2 linked regions of the Struthio camelus genome follow. The protein of the gene in region 1 interacts with the protein of each later gene in a biochemical or structural test. Links are inferred from orthologs where the notes say so. Each region holds a gene or a part of one and is shown on either strand. Other genes may lie near its edges.

What was found.
Region 2: the proteins of INPP5D (region 1) and CD244 interact in a biophysical measurement, tested with the Homo sapiens proteins (2 studies listed by IntAct). The link is inferred for Struthio camelus from reciprocal best matches to the Homo sapiens genes INPP5D and CD244.

What each region holds. Positions count from the first base shown.
Region 1 is NC_090950.1:6,084,672-6,092,837, forward strand, and holds the start of INPP5D (phosphatidylinositol 3,4,5-trisphosphate 5-phosphatase 1), read left to right. Parts: upstream 1-5,113; 5' UTR 5,114-5,224; coding exon 5,225-5,358; intron 5,359-8,166. Other genes in the region: NEU2 (sialidase-2), read left to right, coding at 1-216. UniProt on the Homo sapiens protein: Phosphatidylinositol (PtdIns) phosphatase that specifically hydrolyzes the 5-phosphate of phosphatidylinositol-3,4,5-trisphosphate (PtdIns(3,4,5)P3) to produce PtdIns(3,4)P2, thereby negatively regulating the PI3K (phosphoinositide 3-kinase) pathways.
Region 2 is NC_090971.1:5,240,348-5,247,518, reverse strand, and holds the start of CD244 (natural killer cell receptor 2B4), read left to right. Parts: upstream 1-3,937; 5' UTR 3,938-4,040; coding exon 4,041-4,128; intron 4,129-6,410; coding exon 6,411-6,722; intron 6,723-6,793; coding exon 6,794-7,063; intron 7,064-7,171. UniProt on the Homo sapiens protein: Heterophilic receptor of the signaling lymphocytic activation molecule (SLAM) family; its ligand is CD48.

The sequences.
Region 1 (8,166 bases):
TACCTCAACAAAAGCCCTTTAAATCCAAAATCCTGGACAAAACCGAGCATCCTCTTCAAGGGCCTGTGTGCCTATTCGGATCTGCAGTACATGGGGGTGGGCCCAGATGGCTCACCCCTGTTCTCCTGCCTCTTTGAATTTGGGACTCACAAGCAATATGAGAAGATAATCTTTGTCATGTTCACTTTGAAGCAAGCCTTTCCATCAGAGTCCTGAGTGTCAAACCTCCTGGGGATCCCTCAGAAAACCACCTTTCCTGATCCTCCTCCTCCTCCTCCTCTCTTTCACTTCTTGTCTTTCAGCGAAAGGTTTTTCTTGCTCCTCTTTGGCCCCGAGTTTGTCATTGGCTTGTGACGTCTATGGATTACAAAGTCTATTAAACGTACTGAAACTAAACGTGTTTGGTTTTGTTTTCCTTTACCTGCTCTCCCTTCTCACTCATCCCTTTCGCTGCTGTTTTAAACATCTCGTCCGCAAAACAGGCATGACTTTCGTACGAGGCGTTTCACCTCAGGGCCTCCGATAGGCCCTGAGGGATGCTTGGCAAGGGATGTGTGCGTGGATGGTGCAGGGACCACGTGGACAAAGGTGGCAACGATTTTATGCTGACCTATACTCGGCAAACTGCGGAGAGAGAGAGAGGAGTGGAGAGGACACTGGGGTTCCCCCTCCGCCTGCAGTTATCTCCTCCAGAAAACTGCTGCAGCTCCGGTTAGGTGCGCTCCTTTTAGCCGTCAGTGCTGGAAGCTCTAGCTTTCGGGGCTTGCCAGTCTCTCGTATCAGAGAGGCCGCATGAGGCTGGAGTCAGGGTTGCCTTCCTGAGTTCCCAGGCCCCTCAAAGACGTACTTCTGTCTAGCGTTGCCTTTTCCCTTGCTTCCCGTGCTGCCTGCTCTTGCTTTGCTGCCCCTTTGCTTACGCTGCAATAAGCAGCTGCAACTTCTCACATGCAAGAAAACCACAGTCTCACGTGGCACAGCCCTTCCTTTCCCTGGGCAGCGACAGCAGGACACACGCAGGCAAAATGCAAGGTTTGGGGATGGGGCAAGTGGCAGAAATGGCACTTTGCCTGTATCAAGTGCAGGATCGGGACAGGTCTGCAGAGGGAGCTCCCAATTTATAGCCAGGAGGGGAAATAATTGCTGGTCTTCTTAACACAAGTGCTAAGCTATAGTCCGTAGAGAAATGGCTCTTAACTCAGGCAATCCCATGCCTTGAAAGTATGGCTCTTGCTGTTAGAGATCGTTGTTGGCATATGGGGCAGTGCATCTAACAAATACCATGCCCTGCTTCCAGCAAATTGCAAAGGCACGGAAGCGAGAGGAAGGGGACTTGACCAAGCCCTGAGTAGCATGAGAGCGCTCAAGCTAGAAGGCTTTCCAAAGCAGACAGATTTTTTCAGCAGGTTTCTGAAGGAAACAGTTCCAGTTTTGGTGAGAGAGAGCCTCTTCTGAGGCTGAGGTGCAATCTGAAAGGAGGTATTATACAGTGAGTAGATAAAGGGAGTGACCAGAAGTGAATCACCCCCGAGGGAGACACTTCAGAGCAGATGGAGCCAGAAAGGGTTTGACCATGTCTCTAGACAAGATTCTGCTTTAAGTACCAGTCCATCTTTGTTTGCTGTATGCTGTGTGTGTGCACGTATGGAATAGCACCAAGGAAAATGCGTGCATTTGCTCTGTTGATGAAAGAGGGTCCCTGGTTTTTCTCATTCATCTAGGTTTGTTGCAGGGCACCTGGAGCTGCTGTACGAAGGGAGCGAAGAGATCTTATAGCCTGCGCAACTACGTCTGTAATTTGTCAAGCCTTTCCCAAGCAGCAGGTCAGTAACACACTGGGCTGGAGCAGCTGCAAAGCGCCGAGCAGCTCACTAACCAGTACTTTGTGGGTATTATTCATCTGCTCTTTTGATGTAGGCAGAGTCTAAATACGCTTTTGTGGCCAATAGCCTGTTACTGGTGCCTGATGAGGGAATGTTATATTTAGACTCCAGCATAGCTAAGTGCTGTCCTGTAGCTTTAACTTCCCTTGTCAGGCATACTTCTATTTCTTCATGCTTCTAGACACAAAAATGCCTCTTAGAGGGCTTTTCCTCTGGCCAAGCCCAGCAGCACTCTTGCTGATGCGCTGTGCAGGCTGGCTGTGTGGTGGGTTGTTGGGTGACCCCTGCGCATCTTGAGTGATGCTGCAGACGGTATGTATCCGCCGGTCCTTGACAGGCTGGTGAATTCACTGCCAGCTGGTACAATACTACCAGGACATCTGTAGCAAACCCAGTTCAGATAAAAAATGTTTACTGCAATGTCTTAGAGACAACTTAGACTAACAACCTAACATAGAGAAAAGTAACGTTCGCTTTGTCCATAGGCTGCCAGGGCTGCAATTTTTGATTATCCAACATTGAAACGTGTCCCAGTTCTTTGACTGTGGCCTCATTCTTTCAAGTAAATTAAAATGAAATACTGCTGCTGCTGCGGTTATCTAAGAGATTCTGTTGAGTCTGCTTTGGATTTGCCTGACAGGTGTACCTATTATTCTTCTGTTTTATGAGGGGAGCCCTTATGTGGTGCTTTGCCCCAACTGGGCGATGATAATATGCTATTCTAAGCATATTCGTTGTGGAAACCTAGGGTTGCGCTTGCTACGTTTGCAGTGTCGCCCTCTGCACTGTATCACCTGGCACATAACTGAGGGCACAGATAACTGCACTTCTCTACGGCAAATGTTGTAGCTCCCCTCTAGGTAACTCCTCTAATACTTTCTTTCTCAGATCTACTCCCTGGCCTTCTCCGACACAGACATGAATGGGAAGAAAATTAATGGTGTAAGTATCTGCCTCCGTCTCTGTGCAGGACAGAGTAAGGTACATGCTATCCTTTGGGAATCAGGCTGCAGATAGCTCAGGACCTTGCAGGGATCAGTCTTTCCTCAGTGTCGCAGACTTCACGTGCTAGCTCCATGAGAAGTAAAACAGACACCGTTTCCTTTTCAGGCGGTGCTGTGTGTGAGCCGTTAGGGATCACACAGCTGTTTGTATTAGTGCTTTGGGATTCACCTTTTGAGCACCTGGAGCTGTACTGTGCTTTCTTTTAGGACTGAGGAATCCATACAGAAACCAGCCTGCACATCACAGTGCCACAGTCATCACACGTTTGGATCCCATCCCCTTGTTTATATCTCCAGGTTGAGGAGTGCTGTGCAGCAGGGCACAGGAGTCACACATCTGATGGAAATAACAGTAGTTTGCTAAATGCTGAAGCCAGTGGAGGGATGGGTTAAGTGTTCAATATCCAGCTAATCAGTCTTTCAGCTATCTGAACAGGGCTTGTACCCCTCTGTTACCCTGTGTTAATATGCCGTAGATCAGCAGAAGCTCTCCAAAGACAGTTTCATTCCAGCAGCACTCAGCTTGTGCAGCAGCGCCGTTCGTTCTGCATCAACGTATGGCTCCGCTGCATAGAGAGCGCCGTGAGGTCAAGCAGCGCTTTGACGTTCAGAGCTGCCCTGCTTCCTGCTGCAGCTATACTGTAAGTATCAGATGTCAGAGGTGAGGTTAGCAGCACGCTGCGGCAGGGCAAAACAGTCAAAGTGGGTACACAATCCCCTTGCCACATGCAAGCACTCTTCCCAGTGGAGAATAGGATTTGCAGCCACACCGTAGCTTACAAGAGCTTACAGCTACCGTCCATGTGGAGCTACGTCATGGCTTTCAGCATCTGACTCCTATTTAGGCACCTAAACCAATGAAGTTTGGTTCCCAAAGCCCTTTGTGGACCTGAGTGAAGCCGTAGTGTAATTTTGGTCTGCAAACAGTGCTTGCTCAGCGTGGATAGGAAGCTTTGCACAGAGCAGCTCTGCCCGTTCAGCGAGGTCCTACAGTGGTCCCATACTTTTGCATTCTGAACTCTGCAGTTATGCTTGTGCCCACAATTTGAACCCAGCAGCAGAAATTAAACTGGACACTGCAGAGTAGATGTGCAAGCGCGAGGAAGGCAGACAGGGATGAACACTACGTTGTACTGGTTTATGCAACCTCGCATCCCAAGTTCTAGTTTCTCCCTGTCTCGTTTGAGGCTGCGCTCTTCCGCCTTGCTGCAGGGGAGCAGCAGTATGACCCGTGCACCATGGCCGCAGCACTTCCCAGGCGCTGGGAGGTGAGCTTTGCATAAGGCTAGAAGTGTCTTCACATCGCCTGGGGACTCCCCCCTCGGTACTCAGAGTCCCCGCCTGGCAGCTGCTTTTGGTTACAGCTCAAATGTGGATGTGCAGAAGCACTTTCCTCAAACGCAGAGTGGCTGGAGGCACCGGAGAGGCACCTGCGTGTGCCGTGTGGCCAGTGCCCCCGTAGCAAAGTCCCTGCTGGCTGCAAACACGCCTTGGTGGCGTTGCCTTGGACTTGCAGCACTGAGCATGCCACGAAGAGCACAGGCAAGTGGCAGATGTACAGACTAAGAAAAGGGAAATGAAAGCCCCAGTTCTTCCCTCTCTGACGTAGCTGCCAGAATCGCTCTGCTCCATCCCTCCTTTGGGGATTTGGAGTAGGAAAGACCTTTGAATCCATCTAACAGTAACTATCAGGGAGCTTTGGTCACAAACTCCCAGACAAATCAGCCTGTAAGCCTGTCCCCATGCCTGGAAACACGGAGGGGTAATTTTAGTCAGTTCTTTCAAGTCCCCTCCTCACACCTAGCTATATGTGAGGACTACACAAGGCAGGAATGGGGCAGTCAGCGCTGAGGATCCTAATGCACGAGGTATTTCTGATCAGTCTAGGATTTATTTATTCCCCATGGGAACCTGCAGTGGGCAGGAAAGACGGACAGAAAAAAGATGGAAACTCAAAGGGTCTGGTAACAGATCAGAAATGGGACAGGAGGCCACCAAAGCCTGTGGGACTGAATCAGCTGGGGAGCGGACCGGCTCCCCAGCTGGGACTTTTGATGCAGAGTGTTAGGATGTGAAGGGGGAGGGAAAGGCAGGGAACAAGGGCTTGCTACTCGCTTCACTTGTAGCATGAAGAGAGAGAGCGGGGGCTGCAGGAACATGTCACGCTCACTCTCTGAGCTGTTTGAGTTAAGGAAGTTGTCCGCGGCTGAGTTTCCTTTCCCTCTCTGCGCTATTGAAACAGGAAGCTGGTGAGCTAAAGCTGCTTGATCGTTACACACAGGCACACAGGCAGCTCTGGCAGCTCCTGTACTGACATTCAGGTTTCCTCCAACTCCAGCTATGGATCAGTGCTGGTACCACGGCAACATTACTCGCTCCAGAGCCGAGGACCTGCTCTCCAAAGTAGGCAAGGATGGCAGCTTCCTTGTGCGGGCCAGTGAGTCAATTGCTTCGGCGTATGCACTCTGCGTGCTGTAAGTACAACTTTCACCCTCGCGCTTCACGCGGACACTTTTGTCCCGGCTTGTGCAGGGGGCTACCCCCTGTGCGCTCTCCGGTACAGAAGCAAAGCGCCGCTGTACCCGTCAGGAAGGTGCAGCCCGCATCAGCTGGTTTCACTTGACTGGGCCACAGGGTAGGGTAGGGTTGGGAGCAGGTTGAACAAACCCATGTATTTACTGCTGGAGTAGAATAAACCACCCTAGTCTCGCCCCTGATTCTGAAGGAGAGAATAATCCAAGATACTGTTGTTGCATTCAGAGAAAATAACCTCTTGACCTCTTTGAGCCTGTTGGCAACCTGGCTATTTACATTTCACAGCCAAAGTAGTGAGCGTGGTGCCCTCCCAGGCACTTTCTTACCTTGGTTCAGTGTGTGTTTGTCCCACCAGCCTGTACGGTGCTGGGTGCCACTCGACGAAGGGTTTGCAACAGTCCCTGGGGCTGTGCGTGGTAAGCCTGGTGCGAGGGTGATTCCACCTGCCCCACTGACGTGCCTCACGGGGGAAACATTGTCCTGTAGGAGACAGGGAGAGGAGAGACGAGGTGGCAGCCCTGAGCCCTGATTCAAGGCTGGGGCTGGGAACTGGGGAGTGGGGCCTCCTGTCCTGGGTTTGGGAGGAGCAGGTGTTATTCCTGGAGGCAGGAGCGGCTGGGGCCAGAGAAGACCGAAGCCAGTAGGTGAGGTGAAGCTTGAGGCTTTTGACTTTGGATGACAAGAGAGATAACACAGTCACCGTCCCCTCAGAAGAGATCAGGAGAGCCTCAGTGGGACCGTGCCCTGCCATTATGCAGCAGATTAATAAAAGGTATTTCATACCCCCGCCTCCACTGAAATTACAGGCAGGTTTCTCAGTGTAGCTTCTTTCTGAAAGCATATGTCTTGCAGTGGCAAAGGCGCTGCTGCTGTTTCTAACCCTGGTCTAACTGTTCAGCGCTGAGGTCAGACTTTTGGTGACAGCACGGCCTGCTGCAGAGGGCATGTCTTCCGCAGAAGAGCGTGGGGCTGAGTCGCTGCCCCCTAAGTGAAGTGTAGGTGTTGGACTGCAAGAGCTCAGTGGCTGGGGAAGGGGGGATGTTGGTAAAGTGAGGAGAGCCTCCGGGCCTGCTTGTAATAGCAGGCGGAAGGGAAGAGTTTTGTCTTTCTGGAGGGAGCAGGGCAAGAAGGGCGGCTGCAGATGAATAGCCAGGGCAAGCGGGAGGAAGGAGGGGCAGTCATGTTACAGAGGCTTAGTGCCCAAGTTGCCAATCGGGGAACGTTTTTCTGGAGTAAAGACTGTGGCTTCCACCGAGCGGTTTTTGTATGACCCCTTCGATTAGTCTTTTAACCAGTAGGTACACAGAGGAAATATTTTTAGGGGGTGACAGTGGGGACTGCAGAAAGGGAAAGCGCTGTAAAAGCGTCTACTAACGTGTATTTGCATAAGTTTTTCCATTGTAAATGTTTATGCAGCCAACTTTGAAAGCCTTTTGTGACTTGAGAGACATGGGATCAGGAAGTAGAAACAATGTCATGACCAGGATTTTCTGAAGCGGGAGCCAAAGGTTATGTTCTTAAATCCATTCTGAGGTGGCTGACATGAATGGTTTGATTAAAGACATGGGGAGCACCCAGCCTTGTCAGCCAAGAGGGGCAGGATCTGTGGTGGGACGGCCTGGCATTCATTACCGGCTGAGAAAAGTCACACAGACTTGCCTCAAAGTACCTACCAAGCTTTCCGCTTATGCTGGTTTTAGAGCGAGTCTGTGAAGAGAAAGGGTTAAAGGCGGTGAATAAGTCTTTCCCTCTGAATGTCACCTTGACAAAATGTACAGCTTTGCTGAAATCGTCCTCAGAGATATATCGGTTTCAGCTGTGTTATTGACTGGAAGGTGTTTGAAGTTGGAGCTCTTCAGTCACTTTTTTTTAAAAAACGGGCTGGCTGGAGACAAAGAACGTGAGAAAGAGAGAGAGGAATTGAAAGCCTGACTGCAAAAGGCTGTTTCACAAAACAGGATTGTACTGAAATTGAGAAAATATGGGTGTAGAGAAGCAAAACAAGACACCATGAAATTTGCTCTGAAAAAGAAGTGTCATTTTCTGCAAAGCTCTAATATTTACCGAGCAGATCAGTCTTAAATCCAGCAGAAGGGCTTATTATTAATATTTTTACCTTATAGAATGAAATAGTGATTTTCCTGCAGAGCTGTTTTAGGAAAACAGGATTTGTATAAACATAGACAAGCAAGGAAGGTGTATTTGCAGGGCATTTTACAGGTGCCTCCCCTCTTTTTCTAAAACGTAGAGCAGCAGCATTCGGCTTAGCAGAGAGCTGAAACAGTCAGCAAGTACCCAGGGAGCGCTCCTCCCCCCGGCCGCGCTGTCTGCTGCCCTACTGGTCATCCTGCCCCATAAAAGGCAAGAAGCAGTGTCATTTTCCTCCTCCTTTTTCTGTGCCTGGATCGTTTGATTTGCCAGTTTATTGGCTAGAAATGGGCCCTCAAACCCGCCTGGGGAGGAATGCCTGGATCCTGAAATCAAAAAGAGTCTGCTTGGCTTTAGCAAAATGCTGCACCTGAAGCGGTGTCGCTCCAGCAAGGGATCTTCTGTTGGTGGCTCCTGCATGAACGCCTGCGGGGTTAAAACCGGTTCAAGACAAGACCCTCAAAGCCAGGCCACACACAGCTTTCAGGTCCCTCTTGGAGGACACCTGCTGTGAGCTGCCATTTCCAGCCCCCAGGTGGGGGACAGCCTCTCTTACTGTGCCCTTACGAAGTGCCTAGCGTGGCAGTCCTATCTACGGT
Region 2 (7,171 bases), on another chromosome or scaffold:
TTACTGGGAACATTAAGACGGCACCAGATAACTTATTTATGAGAACTTTTTGACGGATCTACCACTCAATAATTTATACCACGCAGCATTTAGTCAGGGTCACCAGTAAATAATTCACTTATTATAAACTACATAATTTTTTATGAGACGTTCAATTATTATCTCGCGCCAGATTCGGGGCCATGAACACGCAACCGATGACGTTCCCACCGGAGAGAAGTCCCGCACTGAGCCCAGACACTGCCGTGTGCTTGGTGCAGGGGTGGGTGCAGCACTAGAGGGATCTGGGGGACATTATGGTGGGGAGACCCAGGCCCAAGCTGGGCCCTGGCCCTGGCAGCACAGCTCCGGCCGGGACGGAGCGTGGGTGCATGCTGCCACCTCTTGGGCAGAGCCGAGCTCCGGGGCTGGCAGGATATTTTGCCTCCAATCTCTCAGTTAAGAACTGAAGCGGATGCTGGACGGGGTGGGAAGGGGCTGCACAACCAGCCTGTTTCATTGCTTGGCCTGCGGAAAGCGGATTCGAACAGGAGGCACCCAGATCCCTGCGTTTGCTTTTGCTGTTTGCAAAGGGGAAGGGTGGTGGCTTGGACCTGGGGGTGAAAGCCCCATGCAAGGGTGGTGCAAGTTTGCGGGAGCCTGCTCCCTGGCGTGCATCGGCCGTCACCTTCGCCACTCCCAGCAGCTCCCAGCTGGCCCGGCGGTGGTCGTGGGGGATGCCCGAGCAGGAGCGGTTCAGATGCGCTGGCCATTTTCCCGGCCCCTAGGTCAGGAAGGGCCCCGGGAAGGCGTCGGAGCTGGGGAAGCGGCCACGTGTCCCTGGGCCAAGCATGCCGCCACACGAGCAGCTCTGCCTGTGCAGAAACCCTGGCCCGCGGGAGCCCTCCTTGCTTTCACCTCTTGGGGGCCAAATTTAGCTGGAAGGGGAACGAGAAAGCACAGCTGATGCGCTGAATAAAAACACCCTCGCCTCTGCAATGCGGTGCTTCAAGCATGCAGCATCTTCCCTTCCTCCTCAGTGTGGTCTGCGAAACGTGGCAAACGCTTCCCTTTCATTCCCTTCCTGTTTTCTTCCTCCCTCCTTTTCTTTCCCTCCTCTGCCATGGCTCCACTCCCCGGGCCAGCAGCTGAAAGAGCGCCTGGCAGAGGGAAGCTCCCCTTAATGGAAATTGTTCCCTGTGTGTTGAACTGAGCCGCGGACAAAAGCGCTAATTAATCGGCTCAGCCCATGCTCTGAGTGGAGGTTTTCCACCTTGCAAAGTGCTGCTTTTCCTTTGTAGCCTTAATGAGTTTTTGCTCCTCTGCCCACAAGTGGTGGAAGGGGCCAGAGGAGCCTGCACAGCCCTGTCCCACTGGGACCTGCTGCAGCCGGCTCCGCAGGGATGCACCATGCCTCAGTTCCCCACTGCTGGAGGGGCCCAAGCTGTTCCCCCCGCTCTGGCCGCAGCATGTCTGTGGGCTCTGCAAGGGGGACCCCAAACGTCAGCTTTTCACCCCATATCGTGGCAAGTGCTGGCCACAAGACCAAAATCACCACTGGATCCTGCCACGTGACACCCCGAAACGGCCGCCATGGGGAAACGCCGAGCCCAAGCCTGGCCTCTCCCCTGGTGCACACAAGGGAGTGATTGTAGATGGGAAACTACCCTGAAACGTGAACGATTAACAACGAGGTACCAGCACTGCTGACGAATAATTAGTGTGTCTTTCCGCCCCAGGGGAGAAATCAGGGCAATTCATGTGTCGGCGCAGGGCAGGTAATGCGCTGGGGTTTCTCCCTTGAGGAGGTGGACGCGGCAGGGAATATATTCCCATCCCAAGTACGAATTTCAGTGAGAATACTTTCTGTTCAGTTTCTGCTCATTTCTGCTTTAGTTTCTGCTCGCCCTTCGCCTCAGAAAACCAGCTCTGGTGTTGACAGAGCAGCTGCTGGAGGGACGGAGCTGACCTGCGTCCCTCTGCTCACCCAGAGCCCAACTGCTGCTGCAGCATCTTCCGAAGACTTTAACGGGAAATTGTTCCCTTTCTGTCCATTTACAGAGCCCCTCTGCAAAGCCCTTCCCGCAAAGGCTGGAAATAGCTCCTGGTCGGGGCTGGTTGCTGCCCAGAAAGCAAGCCGCTCCTGAGCGAAACCTGGCTTCGTTCCTCAGTTTCCCCCACTGCACCCTTGCCGGAGGGGCTTCTCCAGCCCAAAGCGGCCATTTCCCAGCTGGGAGCTGCCAGGCAGGGCTGAGCAGATGACAGGGCAATAGGCTTAGAGCCAAGCCCCTAAGGTGATTAGCAGCGTCGAGGGGATTGCAGGGCAGGAGCAGACGGTGGCGGATCAGCTCAGGGGCTCGTGCCGGGCTGCGCACTCCTGCTGGCCCTCCACGCTCCTCCTTCCTTCAGCCTCACTATTCCGCAGCAGGATCATCCTGCTGGGAAGGAGGCTTCCTGGGGCAGCAGGGACTCGGGGGATGCCTGGCCTTCGGTGGCACTGTGCCCCAAAATCCCAGGTATAGAGGGAGAGAGTCAAAGCTGCGGTGAGGGGCTGAACACCCCCCGGCAGCGCCCTGACAGCCATGTCTCAGCTCACCGGCTTGCACACGTTCCCCTTGCAACTCACCTCCTCCTTCCCCTTCCCTCTGGGCTGGTGGGAAATACTTATTCCCAAATAACAATTCTGAGTTATTTTCTCCTAAAGTATTTTTGTAATCAAAGGCTAATATAAAGAGAATTACGTTTTCCAGAGGCGGAAAAGAAACTTCAACTTAGATCTCACTCACTACCCTCCAGGAGCCCTCCCGTGGCTCCTAGAGCAAGTTAAAGTGTTATGAACAGAATACTTTTTCCCAGGTTTGCAGCGTTTTCTTAAATATACATATATATTTTTTCAAAATTACTCCTTCTTAATGGCCCAGTTGAACTATTGCAGTGAAACTTTCCAGCATTCAGAAAGCAGAGTTTGGTTTCAGCTTTGGCTGCTTGGGGTTTTTCTCCTTGCCATGAGGCTTTTTCTGACCCTGCAACAAACTCTTTGTACTAGTTTGCATGAGAAAGTAAACCACACCAGAAAGGCTACCTGAGAAAAGCTTTTAAAAGCAGTTTCTAATGAGCTGCCCTGCCCAGCCCAGCCCAGCCCGAGCACCCGGTGCAGAGACTGGACACAGCTCGCCGTGCTGCGGGAGCAACTGTTCTCTGAACAGGAAAGGGAATAAGCTTGCAGTGAGACATGATGCAGCTGTGGGCGAATACTGCTGGCCTGAGGTCTGATCCTGGGAGCCCCGAGGCTGCCCGGCCCTGTGCAGCCCCCCCAGCGGGGGAGATGCTGATTTGGGGAGTACTGCACGGGGTTAGATGCTCTTCCAGCTCCAAAAGCCCCCCTGCCCCAGCCTTTCCACCTGGGATGTGCAAAGCTGGGCAGGAGTGAGGGAGATCTGGGCAACGGGGAGGAGGAGAGCGGAGGGATGCAGCTCACAGGGGGATGCTGACCAAGGAGCAGGTCCTGCGCTATAGAAACCCCCGGCTGGGTGCAGCATCCGCCCATTACCCGTGGGGGCTTTGTCTGGGACGCTGGGCTTTGAAGAGCCAAATTGTGCTAAGCCTTATCCCGTGATAGGGTTGTCCTAGCTCTTTCCCATTTGCAGGGTGACACTGCAGCCCCATGGGCATAGGGGAGATGCTCGGAAGTCACTTCCACTTTGGGGCTGTTTGGAAGCCTACAAATGCAGGTCACTGCAGGGCTTTTTTTGGGGCCTGACTTTGGGATGCTTGACGCAGCTGCGGTTCACAAATCATAAAAGCCTGCTGCAGCCTTGAGAGCATCACTCCTCCTCCTCCCAAAGCTGAGCAGTAAAGGAACAGCCCCCCCCCCCCAAAAACGCAAGCCTCCCCCCCAAACCATTTGTTCCACCACGTGGAGGATGTTGCATGAGCACAAGGGGTGCGCAGAAACCACAGGGGACAGAGGAAGCTATTGACGGACTGTCGCCGTCTCGGAGGAGCTTCTCATCTCGCCGCCTGCCCCACTGCAGGAAGCCTGCTCGCTGCCGGCGTGGAGCATGGAGCTGCCAGGCGCCAGGTGCCACCAGCCAGCACTGCCCCAGCAAGTGCTGCTCTGCTTCATGCTGCTTGCCGCCGCTGGGGAAGGTGAGGAGGAGGAAGGGGCATGATGCACGTGAGCTAGGCTGCAAAACGGGGCTCACTGCGGCACCAGGGACAAACCGGCTTGTCCCTGCAGCCAGGATGGGAGGCTCTGGCTGGGCAGTGGAGCAGGGACGTGTGGGCAGAGCTGGCTGGGTGGCTCAAGGCGCTCACAGGGACGGATGCCCAGTGGGAAGCAGCAGCCGCAGGACAACAAAGCTAGTGCTGAGGAGGGTTTTTGGCCTGTGGCGCGCTGTCTCTCTGCACCCAGCCAGGTAAACATGGCCCAGACTGTCCCAGGGCGCTGGTTCCCCTTTGCAGGCAGCGCTGCTGCCTGCTGGGTGCAGGGCCCAGGGTTTGCTCGAAATAAGCTTTCTTCCTCCTGGAGCAGCGCCCAAGAGCTGCATTCTGTCCAGACCTTCCCAGAAATGCAGCTTTTCAAAGCTAGTTTTCTCTGCTGAACAAACTCAGCACCTTTTGCCTGTGATTTCAGCTCAAAGCTGGAGCGACTGAGCCTGCAGTGGCCGGCAGCTCAGCGCCAGCTGCAAAACCTCCCCACTGACTGGCACAGTTAACCTAAGCCGTGCTGCACCGGCCCCACTGCTCGTACCAACTGCAGACAGTGAGCTACAATCACACCTTTGGACCACGGGGCAGATTTTGAGTCATTTTTTCCCTGAACTTGCACGCCCACGCCCCAGCACCTGCCTCTCTCCTTGCTGACGGTGCCGGGTGGCCGGGGTCTCCCACTGGACGCGCCACAGCTCGCCGCCACGCTTGGCCCTTCACAGGGTGCAAACTCCTACCTTGGAGACCAGCCCCAGCCAGCATATGATCGCCTCCGTGCAACAAACCTGGGCTACTTTTGTCCCTCCTGCTTTCCCATCCTGTAGGGAGGACCGGTTTGATTTTTTCCACCACAAACTTGTGCTCCTGAGCTGTTTTCTAGGGTGGAGAGGGCAGTCGAGCCTCCTGCTGAGCCACACAAGCGCCTGGGGGCAACACATCCCCCAAGAGCGCTGGGATAAAATTCGTCTGATATAACATATCTTTTGAGGCTTTGCTTCCAAATTTCCCTTTGGTTCCTCTTCTTGCAAAGAGAGGAGGCCAGGGCTCTGCCCAGGCTAGAGGAGGCACAGCCAGGATGAGCGTTCCCCAGGAAAGCGAGGATTTACCAAGGGAGAGGAGGACAACTAAACAAGTGAGACTCGGCTCCTAGTGCCTTCAAGGTGCTCACACCACCAAACAGCCCCAAAAGCAGCAGCTGTAGTTCCTCCTGCTCGAGGGTAGTCTGGTGCCAGGAGTGATGGGAAACAGCCCCAGGTGTGACCCATCAGGGCCAGAAGCCGATAAACAGCTCCTGGGGGCTAGGCCAGCTCTTTCCTTTCCTGGGGGAGCCCTGTTCTGGGCTTTCTTCTTTCCTGTGCAAAGCCCCAGCCTGCTGCAGGAAGCTGGGGCTGAGCAGAGCTCCTGGAGGCTGGAGCTTTCCCTGGAGAGGCAGCATGAGCTGGGCTGTGCCGGGGGGGGTGTGCATGGGTGGCATGCACAGGCAGCATGCATGCGCAGCATGCATGCGTATGTGGCCATGCTGTGCAAAGCTTGGGCACCCATGGTGGCTGGTGCTCACTTGGAGCTGCGTGCAGATAGGAAAAACCACAGGGCTGTGCGCACCCAGACTGGGTGGCCACTTGGGTTTATTTTAAGGGTTTTTTATCTCAGCTCTGCCAGAGCCCTTGACATCCGGGGCTGGTGTGAAAGAAGTGGGGGAGGCTCAGCATGGCTTCATGGCTTCTCAGTGGTCCAGCAGGCAACTGCCCCTCTCCTCCCTGGGCAGGGCTGGTAGGGAAGGAGCTGGGGTGCAAATGGGCCACCTGAGTGTATTATTGTAGGGTCTGCAACCCAACAGCTGGGCAGTGCAAGGGGCAGGTAGGGAGGAGAGGATGTTGCGTGCACATCCGTGCACTGTGAGGGCAGAGGATAGGGTGTGAAAGATAAGCAACTGGCTAGGGATGGTACTGTGCAGGAGCCTGGAGCCTGTTCCCAGTGGTGTTGCAAGCCCCCACCTCCTTTCTGGGGCCAAGGGGTGCCCCTGGGATGGGACAAAAGGGATAGAGATGGTGGGGCTGAGCTTGCCCAGGGGGATGCGTGTGGGGCTGCACCGGGGGAGCCAGCCTGCGGGTCTGGGGCACAGCCCTGCTCCACAGCGGGTGGCCGTGTACCCTCTGCTGGTGCCCTGGCTCCCTAATCCCCCCACTCAGCTCTTTCTCCTACTGTTTGCGAACCCCTAGGGTGCAAGGACATAGTGGCAGCTGTCGGAGGAGAGCTGTGGCTGGTGCCAGAGGAACCATCACTGCTCTGGGAAAGCATTACCTGGAGAGTGAGACTGGACAAAGGGGAGCGGCTCCGAATCCTGACAGCTAAGAGCAGCAGCGTAGAGCGGCCCCCAGTTAGTCGTTTTAGCCAGCGAGCCATCTTCCATCGGGGGACGCTCTCCCTGCAGATCAGCCTGGTCACGGAGGCAGACAGTGGTGTCTACGCTGCACACTTTGAGAACGCATCGAGCTTCGAGATTACCAGCTGCTTCTGTGTGTCAGTGCTGGGTGAGTAGTCTGGAGGCCGCGCTGCCACCGTGGTGTTGCCCCGGCCCCCCTCACCGCCTCTGTCCTTCCAGCGCCCGTCGGCCAGCCGGTGCTGGATGCGCGCGTGGTGCTCCGCGAGCACAGCTTGTGCAGCCTCTTGCTGGCCTGTGCTGTCCCCGGCACCCACAACGTCACCTACCGCTGGTCCCGTGCCAGCGCTGCCGGAGCCGTGGGGCACCAGTCCTCCCTGCAGCTGCAGCTCCGAAAGGACGCCAACCACACCGTCTACCACTGCAATGCCAGCAATGCTGTGAGCTGGGCCACGGCCAGCACTGATGTCGCAGCACTGTGCAGCCCCCCAGGTGATTTGCCCTCGGCTGTGTGAAAGGCTGGATTTTGGTCCTGGCCAAAGGGTTTTTTCCTGCCCACAGTGTGGTTTGGACACCCAGGGAGAGAGTCCCTTGCCCAAG